Tamandua tetradactyla: one gene and its partners. The protein of the gene in region 1 interacts with the protein of each later gene in a pairwise test. Links are inferred from orthologs where the notes say so. Each region holds a gene or a part of one and is shown in the gene's direction. Other genes may lie near its edges.

Region 1 (3,747 bases):
TCGCTCGCTCTGCGGAGATGCTCCCCAACCCCCCACCCCCACGACGACGGCGCCTCCGCCAGCCTTCGGCAATCTCCGCGGAAAGACCGAGCGACCGGCAAGGCCCGAAGACCTGCCGCCTCCTACCCCGCCAGACCAGGCTTTATGTCTACGGCGCCGGGGCGCATGCGCAGACGCCATCTTCCCTCCTTCTCCGCTCTTCGCCCCCTCCCCTTCCCCCGCCACCGCCTCCTTCTCTAGCCGGCGGTCGCCCCTCCTCCTCCTCCTCCTGCGCTCGGGCGCTGGTCCCTCCTCTCCCTATGCCGCGAGAGACCCGGGGAGCCGAAGAGCACTAGTAACAACCCCCTCAGTCCCCCGCCCGACCCCCTCCCTCAGCACCCACCCACTCACCCGCCCCGTTGGCCAACACCGAGCGGCCCCACCTCTCGTTCCTTTGAGCGGCGTCGGCTGCAGTCGCTGCACCAGCCCGTCTGGCCACCGAAGCTGCCGAGAAAGGAGTCGCCGCCGTCGCCCGGGGCTCTCCCGCCCCGGTCCGGCAGTAGCCGGGTGAGGACAAGCCGGCTGCGGAGGAAGAGGACGAGAGCGGCTCGCACCCCTCGGCGCTAGCCTACGGCCCGCCGCCCCCTGGGGAGGCTCGGGCGCCGGCCCCTTCCTCCCCGAGGACGCGTGCCGAGCTGAGGCGCCTGCCCCGAGGGAGGAAAATGCTCGGGCTCCATGGCTGCCAGTGATGGAGCGCTCCTTTGGCTCCGGCTCGCACCGCCGCCGTCGCGCCCCGGCCGCGCTCCGCGAGGACCCGGCGCCTCTGCGCGCCCGCCCGCTCCTCGTTGCCGGGCTCACCGTACCGGGCGCCCCGCCGCCGCCGCCGCCGCTCAGCTCGCAGCCTCGCCGCCTCGGCCCCAGCCGCGGCCAGCGTTTCCCCTCGGAGCAGCCGCCGCGAGCCCAGGGGGTTTGAAAGGGTCCGCGGGGCGTGGGGGGAGGGCGGAGCGGGCGCGACGGGACTGGGAGGGGAGGTTTGAGCGCCCCTGAGCTCGGGGCTCGTCCGCGACGGCGGCGCCGACGAGAGGCGGGCGGGACTCGCTCCGCGCCGTCTTCGTGCAGCGCGGCCGGGAGGGCTTTGCAGCCGCCGCTGGCGCCGCGGCGGGAGGAGCGGGTGGAGGTGGCTTCCGAGTTGGCGACTTGGCCGCGGAAGGTGGGCATCCCTCGGTCTCCTCTCACCCCCAGCCCCGCTCCCCTCCCCCGCTCGCTCGCTCGCTCCCTCCCTCCTGCCCCGCACCCCACGTGAAGGGGAATATAAAGGGGGGGTGGGTGGGGTGTGAGACTAGAGGGGAAAGCGAAGGGCGAAGGACTGAGGGGTCCCCCCTTCGGGTCCCCGGCAGCCTTGTTCACCCTCGTTCGTCCTCCCTTCCCGAAGCTCGCCCCCGGAGGCAGAAGCGACCGGCGCCTGTGCCTTCGGCTGAGGAGGAGGAGGAGGAGGAGGAATCGAGCCAGGCGGAGCGTGGGGTCCGGTTTTCCTCTCCGGCGTCTTGAATACAAAGATTACGGTGCAGACGGAAATTGCACTTGCCTCCTCCGCCCCCCAGTACCCAACACAATGCACCAGCCGCCGGAGGCCGCCGCCGACGTGAGCGCTAGGAAGATGGCGCACCCGGCAATGTTCCCGAGAAGGGGTAGCGGCAGCGGCAGCGCCTCTGCGCTTAGCGCAGCAGGTACCGGCGTCGGGAGTCATGCCACATCTGCCGAGGATCTGCCGCCCCCGTCGCTGCTCCAGCCGCCGCCCCCTGCAGCCTCTTCGTCGGGACCACAGCCTCCGCCCCCACAAAGCCTGAACCTGCTTTCGCAGGCTCAGCTGCAGGCACAGCCTCTTGCGCCAGGCGGAACTCAGATGAAGAAGAAAAGTGGCTTCCAGATAACAAGCGTTACTCCAGCTCAGATCTCCGCCAGCATCAGCTCGAACAACAGTATAGCAGAGGACACAGAGAGCTATGACGACCTGGATGAATCTCACACGGAGGATCTGTCTTCCTCCGAGATCCTTGACGTGTCACTCTCCAGGGCTACTGATTTAGGGGAACCAGAACGCAGCTCTTCGGAGGAGACTCTGAATAACTTCCAGGAAGCCGAGACACCTGGGGCCGTCTCTCCCAACCAGCCCCACCTTCCTCAGACTCATCTGCCTCACCTTCCACCGCAGAATGTTGTGATCAATGGCAGCGCCCACCCCCACCACCTCCATCACCACCACCACGGTCATGGGCACCACCTCCACCACGGGCACCACCATCCCGCACACGCCGGGGTGGCCGGTGCACCCATCCCTGGAGGACCCCCCACCAGCCCAATAGCCAGAAAACTCTCTACAACTGGAAGCTCGGACAGTGTTGTACCAGCTGCACCAACTTGTGCTGTATCATCAAGTGGGTCACCTGCATCTGTAATGACTAATGTCTGCACTTCGAGTACTCCTGGCGGTCTAGGTATACATTCTGTTCCTGGCACTAACACAGTGAATAATGTAAACCTTCCTGCTGTGGGTGGTTTTAATCCTAACGTGGCCAGCAGCATGCTTGGGAATGCTAATGTAAGTACGAGTAATATTCCCAGTGCTGCTAGTGTGAGCGGTGGGCCCGGAGCTGGCATTAATGTGAATATCTTGAGTGGCATGGGCAATGGAACTGTCTCTGCCTCCGTTGTGGGTAATATCCCTAACGTGGCCGCTGGGATGGCTGTGGGACCCATTTCCAGTCAGCAGCCACAACCGATGGTCAACACATCCAGGTTCCGGGTCGTTAAGTTAGATACCAGTTCTGAGCCCTTTAAGAAAGGCAGGTGGACTTGCACTGAGTTCTACGAAAAAGAAAACACTGTACCTGCCACCGAAGGTGTGGTGGTAAATAAAGCAGTGGAGACGGTAAAACAGAACCCAGCAGAGGTGACTTCTGAGAGGGAGAGCACCAGTGGGAGTTCCGTGAGCAGTAGTGTCAGCACACTGAGTCACTACACGGAGAGTGTGGGAAGTGGAGAGATGGGAGCCCCTGCCGTGGTGGTGCAGCAGCCACCACCACCACCAGCTCCTCAAGGTGTGGCCCCTCAACAGATGGATTTCAGTAGCACTGGTCCACAGAGTATCTCAGCAGCAAGTATACCACAGAGTGTTTCTCAGTCACAGATCTCCCAAGTACAATTACAGTCTCAAGAATTGAGCTATCCGCAAAAGCCAGGTCTTCAACCAGTACCTCTGCAAGCCACTATCAGTGCTGCACCTGGTATCCAGCCATCGCCTGTTAACGTTGTTGGTGTAACTTCAGCTTTAGCTCAGCAGCCTTCCATTTCCACTTTGGCTCAACCCCAACTGCCATATTCTCAAATGGCTCCTCCAGTGCAAACTCCCCTTCCAGGGCCACCACCCCAGCAGTTACAGTACGGACAACAGCAACCAGCTGTTCCTACACAGATGGCCCCAGGCCATGGTAAATCAGTGACTCAAAATCCCACTCCAGAGTATGTACAACAGCAGCCTATTCTTCAGGCGGCAGTATCCTCTGGACAGCCCAGTTCTGCAGGGGTGGGAGCAGGAGCAGTGATCCCTGTGGCTCAGCCCCAGGGTGTTCAGCTGTCAGTGCAGCCCCCAGCAGTCCAAGCACAACCTGCAGGGGCATCTGGCCAGCCCATGGGCCAGGCTCCAACAGCAGTGTCTGCTGTACCGACTAGCAGTCAGATGGTAAACATTGGTCAACAAGCAAACATACC
Region 2 (3,747 bases), on another chromosome or scaffold:
TTCTCTACTTCTCTGTACTTTCCTGGCCCATTTGGCAGAATATGATTGCTCCTTGCTCCTGAGCTTACTTGCTATAGTTCCATACAGCTTTAGGACACAATTAAGAATCTCTGAATCCAACTGACAGTTTCATGAAAGTAAAAATGATTGGCCCAGCTTTGGTCAGGTGTCTAATCAATAGTATGTATGTGCATTGGGAAGAGAATTTTATAGTAATAAATAATAACCAACATGTTAACACATAAAAAGGTGTACCTTTATTCATAATCAATATTTCATTTACGGTAAGCAAAAATATCATGGTTCCCATTTAATGCTCTGTATTTCCCACTAGGCTATGAGCCCCTGCAGAGCAGAGATCATATTATGTAGCAGAATTGAAATCATACTGGACATATATAATTAAGTATACACACACATATATTAGCATTATAAAATTTTGCCTGTCTTTTTAAGTTATCACAATATAATACTTAATGATGATATAATATTCCCACTTGGTACATTTCTGCATTGTTGAATCATTTTTGGATATTGAGATATTTTCCATTTTTCACTATTATAAAAAAATACTGATCATCATTCATACAAATACTAACTGACAGATGTGACTATTTTCTTAGGCTAGATACCTAAAGGTGAAATTCTGGTTATTCGTTTTTTAAAGATTCATATATATTATTGAACTATTGTCCAAATATGTGGGATTAATTACACTCCTGTCAGCACTGAGCATTATCATTGTTAAAAAATCTTTGATACGTGAAAATGGTATGTCTTTATGTTTCGTTTTGTTTTGTTTACATTAGTGAAATAGCTATTTATACTTCCTCTCCACTAATTGTTCAAGTCCTTGCTGTTTGAAATCAAGTAGTAGTCTTCTTTTAACCTGTGTCAGTACTGAGAATGGTGTTTGTTACACAGCAGACCCTCGTGGGGTGTTTGAATACATATAGGTAGGGAAATCTAGCAATAGCTGTTCACATCTTTGTAAGAATAATTAAGCTTCTAAAGCCTAATAATTGAGTACCATTTAGGATTTACAAAGAACATTCACTTATATTATTGCATTTCGTCACCATAATTGTGTATTTTATTTTCAGCATTCTGCCATGTTGAGCAGTCTAGGGTAACTGAGGTCTGACAGGTATAGGGCTGAAAATTAAGACGACCGTGGAAATGGACGAATTTCGGTTTCCCTGAAGAGGATCAAGTCAAACCTAAAGTTCGTCCTCCTGTGCACCAGAGGGCAAAGCAACCAGGACGATGAAGGAACAAGAATGAATATCTCCCTTGATTACATTTCCCAGGGGTTCTAGTGGCCTCGGGGTGGGCGATTCCCAGGAATGTTCAGTGGCTGAGAACTACAGGTCCCAGATTGGTGTGCGGCCGGACCCAATTCCGTTTCCCACCAACCCAAGGGCTTAATGGCTGGTGGTTATCGTCGGGAACTTGCTGTTGGACTGCACCTCACTACCAAGAACTGGGTGCCGGAAGCTTCTCCAACAAGGACCCGTTTTCTTAGGGCGGTAACGGCGTGCACGGGTCGGGAAAGGGCGGTGGGAGAAGCCGAAGCAGCTTTGAATCATGCGTGTGAACTGTTGGTCCACTTGTAAAACGGCCCAGCTTCTCGGTACTGCGGTGAAAGCCAGTGTTAGGAATTGTACATCCGTCAGGCCGAAAACTACATTTCCCAGCATCCTTGCGATACCAGACCTGTCCTTCCCGAAAGCCTGAGCGCGACTATACAGATTTCCACTTCCTTTCTTCAAACGGGAAACAGGATATGAGGACTCCCTGGGCCTGGCGGCTCCTTGGCTTTGAAGGCAATGGAGGCTGCCGGGTTTCTTTCCCGCGCGGGCGTTTCTCGCCGGCCGTAAAGAGAGGTGAGAAAAGGCACGGTCTCAGCGAATTCCGGGCTGCACTGTAGGGAAATAATGCTCGTATGTCGTACCTGCTCGGGCAAGTGGGAGGCGTGGGCGCCACGCCCCCCAACGCTGCCCGCAGTCTGCGCGGGGCGTAGCGATCTTGTTGCCTCAGTTGCTTCCGCGCCCAGGCCCGCCTGGTAGGACACGGGGTCGGGAAGGACAGAGAGTAGAAAGAGGACCAAAACTCTTTGTGCTCTGAAAGCTTCGGGTCCCTGCCCGTCTTCTGAGCTCGTTTCCTTTTCTGTTAGAGGGAGCTGGTAATCCTTGCATTCTTGCAGATCTCTTTAGAGCAACCATCTAAGGATTGATGATTCTGGGGATTCTGATTTTTCTAGTGGCTTGCCAAAACTTACTCTGTGTTAAGTACGGTTCTCAAGCCCAGGTTTTTGCAGCATGCGTTTCAAGATACACCCGCCTTGTTGTCACTTTGCTATCATGTAGCTATTCAGAAAAAAAAAAAAGCAAATGCTGACATCTCTGTTTTGCAGCGTGTACAGAGATGGACATCTGACTTGATTGTATAAAGACACTTCTAGGATTTTTAGAAAATTGAAATAGAAAAGATAAAGTGTTTGCCTAGTAAGGTCGTAGAGTCACTGATGGTTATAGAGTCACTGATAGAATCAGGATGAAATAAGTGTTGAATGTTTACTGTGTTCAAGTAATTTAAACTTGCCTAGTAGTGTCAGTCATCAAGGAATTTGGAAACCTTGACACTTCAGATATGTGAAAGAATCTTGGTTATCATTTCGTCCAGTTCTCTTTTTTTTTTTTTGCATGGGCAGGTACCGGAAATCCAACCCGGGTCTCCGGCATGACAGGAGCAAACTCTGTCACTGAGCCACCGTGACCCACCCACAAGGGAAGCTTTAAAAATTAAGATTCCCAGGTCCTACTGCAGAACTGCTGAGTCAGTCTCCAGGGAAGGGCCCATGGATTTCTGTATTGAGTTTTATTATTGAACTTACGAATCCTCATAATTCTCGTGTGACTAGTCTAGCGCATATTAACAGGCTGGCATTTGGGAATATATACTTTGATGCCTGTTCTTTAAGTTGCTGACAGAAGGATGGTGTCAGCCATATCATTCAAGTATTTCAACTCTCAAGTTCTAGTAAATTAACATAAAACTAGAACTTAGATTTAATGATACCGTTTTATATATTTTTTCGAAAGTAAAATGTGGCCTATTTCTGATAAACAGCTTGACTCAAGATGGGCCAGAGTGTCAATCCAAGTTGTACTACTACTGATCACTCTGCTTTTCCAATTTATTATTGCCTCCAAAGAGAAGTGAAACCCTTCAAAGTGGAAAGTAAAGATGGACAGTGTCAATACCTACCTACCTTATAGAATTGTGAGAATTGAACAAAGGATTACATGACTATTTGAACAAATTAGGAAGATATGTTCTACATATCCTTCCTCTGTATACACCTCACTTTCCCTCACACCCATAGTAAATAGAATCCAAAGTGTGAGTAGTAAAGGCAGCCCATGCCTCAATGAATTTTGCTGTGTACCTTCTGTCAGCATAACTCCTCTTTAAGATTTAATACAGCTGTAGCATTATTTCCAAACAACTATTTTTTTAGCCTTTATTCTTAGGGTCAGTATCCCTCCTCTGTATTCTCTATGGATATATCGTGATACTACATCTTTTGAGAAAGAAAGCACCACATTGTTATTCATCATTGTATCCATAACACCTCAAACAGTACCTTTCATTTAACAAATATCAGTGGAGTACCAGGATTTGTGTTAGGCTTTGGGAATCCATTCATGAGCAAGAACAGATATGGCCTTTACTCTCAAGGAC
Region 3 (3,747 bases), on another chromosome or scaffold:
TATTGGTTCCTTCCACCTTCCTTAAATGTCCAGGAAGAACTGGACCCAAAGAGTGGAAAGGGTGAGAACAATCATAGGAGGTGAGGAGTTGTGGGATGAAGAAGAATTTGGGGATGAGAGTATTTATGTTTAATAAAAAAAAGTCAAAAGAATGAAAGCCATTTAGGGACCTTCCCAACATTATTCCCCTCCATTGAGGAGAATGTCCATTGAACCTGCCATTACCCTAGCCTATGAGGTGAGCCACCCCCCAGCACCTTGCTACTATTTGCCCTGGGCTCTCTTAACTCTCTCGGTATACATCTATACAACCACACATGCAGATGTGCACACCCAGAGTCGCATACATAGAAAGAGGCAAGTGGGCACGTACCCACAGACAGACACATACATGCATGTGCACATACATGCCTACACGTGACGGGGCTGCTCCCGTGTGCCTGGGGAAAACTATACTATCATCTGAGGAGTCAAAGAAAGCAATGAGTCCTGAGGGGGATGGGGAGGCCTGTCTTTAGAGCAAGGATAGGGACACAGACCACTGCCCTGAGATGCTGGGGGCCTAGACTTGGGCCATCCTTAAAGAAAGGGACTGGGGGCTTGAGTTCATGGATCCTTGAGCTAGAAGGGAGTTAAAGGTGCAGACTCTTGGACACCAGGGTCCAGAAGGAGGGGCCGGAGGCTTGGCCTCTGGTTCTAATAAAGGGGCCTGGGGCCCAGACTCCTGGACCTGAGGGAGGAGTGGATGGGTCTCAACTGTTGTGTTCTTGATGGTAGACATTTTGGAGGCTTGTATTCCTAAGACTTCAAAAGAAGAATTCGTGGGGGAGAAGGAACGGGGGTGTTCTCAGATGCTGGCATCCCTGGAAGAGGGAGAAGCTGATTGGGGGTCTCTGGGTCTGAGGAAGACGAGAATTCCTGGGTCCTCAGGGAAGACTCAAAATCTGTGGAGCCCATGACCCCCACAGACTCCTGGTTGGGCCCTTGCCGGGGGCGGAATGCCTGGAATCTCGAGGGGCGGGGGCCGGCGCACGCTCCCACTCGGGGTTCCGAGCTGCTCCACGCTGCGCAGAGCTGCCACGCTATTGTCCTGGCCGGGAAGGCGGGGCCGGCGCGGGGCGGGGCTGGCGGCGCCGGCGCAGCTCAGCAGCGGCGGCGGGAGGAGGCGGTGGTGGCGGTGGCGCTGGGAGCTCCTGTCACCGCTGGGGCCCGGCCGGCCGGGCGGGAGTGCAGGGGACGCGAGGGCGCGAGGGCCGGGACATGGGGCCCGCCAGCCCCGCCGCTCGCGGTCTGAGCCGCCACTGGGACCCGCCGCCGCTGCCGCTGTGGCTGCCGCTATTGCTGCTGCTTCTGCGCGCGCAGCTCGCCGCCGGGAGCTTGGTCGGTGGGAGCCCCGGCGCGGCCGAGGTGAGGCCGGGCTGGGTCGGGGGATGGGGACAGGGGAGGGACGGAGCCTTTGGACCCCGAGGCGGAGACGTCACGGAGACTTTGGACCCCGAGGCGGAGACGTCCAGGGCAGAAAACGTAGTCTTTCCAGTCAGATGGCCAATCCCCAGGCGTCCCCCCTAGCAGCCCTAGGCATTCATGAACCCTGGACCCAGAAATGGGGGAGACCCCAGCTCCCCCATCATCTGACGTCCCAGGCTTCCTCCCTTCCTCCAGACATAGGAATTGGCTTTTCCAGACCCCTGAACGCAGGTGTCCAGCTCTTCTAAGATCCCCAGATTCTCCCACCTGAGCATAGGACCCACCAGGCATCAGGACACTGGATTCAATATCCAGCACCCGGCATCCTCTGGACCCAAATGAGGGCCCCAGGATCTAGGAGTGCAGGCCTCTAGGCCCCTATCCCGATGTAATATGTAGCTCCGGGTTCTCAAGGACTTAATGACCAGGCCGCCGGGCACTGAAGGCGGGCCTTGGCGGTCTTTGCACCTAAGAATGGATGCCTGAGCCAGGATGGAGGGAGGAGGGGCCAGAACGCCTGGGTTCTGGCCTCCTCCCCCGCGATCCAGGTTTAACCCTTTCCGGCTCCTGCGCGGCTGCGGCGGGGTGGGAATCGAGCCTGTCTCCGCGGCAACAGGGCCGCGAGAATCCCGGGGGACCCGGGTCGCCATAGCAACGGGAGAGCTGGGGCGCCCCCGCCCTGAGGGAGCTGTTTCCTGGGGAACGGTGCCTCCAAGAAGGCGGGTGCGCGGTGCCTGGGGGAGGGTCTGGTGCTGGGGGTCTAAATATGTGGGCCCTGGGGCATGAGGGGCTGAAGGACCATATGCCAGCGTCCCACGGGTCTTTAATGACCTCTCTGCCCGTACCCCCAGGCCCCGGGGTCGGCCCAGGTGGCCGGGCTATGCGGGCGCCTAACCCTTCACCGGGACCTGCGCACCGGCCGCTGGGAGCCAGACCCACAGCTCTCGCGACGCTGTCTCAGGGACCCGCAGCGCGTGCTGGACTACTGCAGACAGGTGGGCGGGACCTGCTGGAGGGACGTGGTCAGCGGGGAAGCGGGGCCAAGATGGGGCGGGGTCACCCATAAAAAGCTAGATGTGCAAAAGGCGTGGTCCTGGGCGAAACAGGATCTTAGCAGGCATGGGAAGCTAGGGGATGTGGCCTAATAGAGAGGTGAAGCTAGGACAGGGCAGAACCTGCTTTGAGAAACTAGTTCAAGAAAAAAGTGAAATCCATGCAGAGACGGCCCAACTAAGGGAGTTGGGGGATTACCCAGTGAAGAGGCAGTACATTGCAATCCTGGTGGGCCCACGCCTTATGGGTGGGCGTGACAAGGAAGAAGCAGGCCTAAAACAAAAAGAGACCTTATGGGCCCCCAAAATGGGAAAGGAGTGAATGACAAGGAGAGAGTGGGTAGGAAGCATGGCTTTGAAAATGCAGGCCTAATTCGAAGAGAAGGGATACTTATGGATAGACCAAACAGAGAAAGAGGTGGTACTTAAAGAAGGGGACTGTTGGGAGGTGGACCTGATAGGGGAGTGACCAGAGGAGAGGTGGGGCTTAGAGGGTGGTGCTTGCCTGCAGGTCTGGCGGGACTGAGATAATGAAGGCGACTTCCAATGAGAAAAGCAGGGCCAAGGCAGGCTGTCCTTCTGAACACGGAGCCTTGAAAAGGGACATGGGCAGAAGTGTGGCCAGCAGGGGCAGAGCAGTGTGTTGATCATCCCCCACTGGTATCCCCAGATGTACCCAGAGCTGCAGATTGCACGAGTGGAGCAGGCAGCGCAGGCCATCCCTATGGAACGCTGGTGCGGAGGTGCCCGGGGTGGCCGTTGTGCCCATTCCCCCCAGGTCGTGCCCTTCCGTTGCCTGCGTGAGTTACTGGCTGGGGGCTGGGGGGAACCAAGGCGGGGTCTCCCAGGGGCAATGTTCTGTGCCCACATTAGGGGTCTGGGTGTTTGGGTTTGGAGTGAGGCAGAGAAGCCTCTGAGGATAATATATGGACTCTGGGGAGGATGGGTTGGAGGCTGCCAAAGGGTCCCATCCTGGGGCCTCTCATTCCACAGCTGGAGAATTCGTGAGCGAAGCTCTGCTGGTGCCTGAAGGCTGCCGGTTCTTGCACCAGGAGCGCATGGACCAGTGTGAGAGCTCTACCAGGAGGCATCAGGAGGCACAGGAGGTCAGGACCTAGCCCACCCAACCCTGCCAGACTCCTAACACTGGACTCCGCTAGAACCAAGACTCTTGATCCACACACACACACCTGCCCCCTTTTTCCTGAAGACACAAGAGTGGGGTTCC

The links.
Region 2: the proteins of TSC22D1 (region 1) and CCDC90B interact in a two-hybrid assay, tested with the Homo sapiens proteins (2 studies listed by BioGRID and IntAct). The link is inferred for Tamandua tetradactyla from reciprocal best matches to the Homo sapiens genes TSC22D1 and CCDC90B.
Region 3: the proteins of TSC22D1 (region 1) and APLP1 interact in a two-hybrid assay, tested with the Homo sapiens proteins (2 studies listed by BioGRID and IntAct). The link is inferred for Tamandua tetradactyla from reciprocal best matches to the Homo sapiens genes TSC22D1 and APLP1.

The regions. Positions count from the first base shown.
Region 1 is NC_135330.1:114,319,686-114,323,432, forward strand, and holds the start of TSC22D1 (TSC22 domain family protein 1), read left to right. Parts: upstream 1-876; 5' UTR 877-956; intron 957-1,210; exon of another isoform or gene 1,211-1,411; 5' UTR 1,412-1,591; coding exon 1,592-3,747. UniProt on the Homo sapiens protein: Transcriptional repressor. Acts on the C-type natriuretic peptide (CNP) promoter. Acts to promote CASP3-mediated apoptosis.
Region 2 is NC_135334.1:61,280,896-61,284,642, forward strand, and holds the start of CCDC90B (coiled-coil domain-containing protein 90B, mitochondrial), read left to right. Parts: upstream 1-1,309; 5' UTR 1,310-1,786; coding exon 1,787-1,886; intron 1,887-3,747.
Region 3 is NC_135342.1:30,106,295-30,110,041, reverse strand, and holds the start of APLP1 (amyloid beta precursor like protein 1), read left to right. Parts: upstream 1-1,164; 5' UTR 1,165-1,260; coding exon 1,261-1,407; intron 1,408-2,318; coding exon 2,319-2,462; intron 2,463-3,189; coding exon 3,190-3,319; intron 3,320-3,512; coding exon 3,513-3,625; intron 3,626-3,747. UniProt on the Homo sapiens protein: May play a role in postsynaptic function. The C-terminal gamma-secretase processed fragment, ALID1, activates transcription activation through APBB1 (Fe65) binding. Couples to JIP signal transduction through C-terminal binding.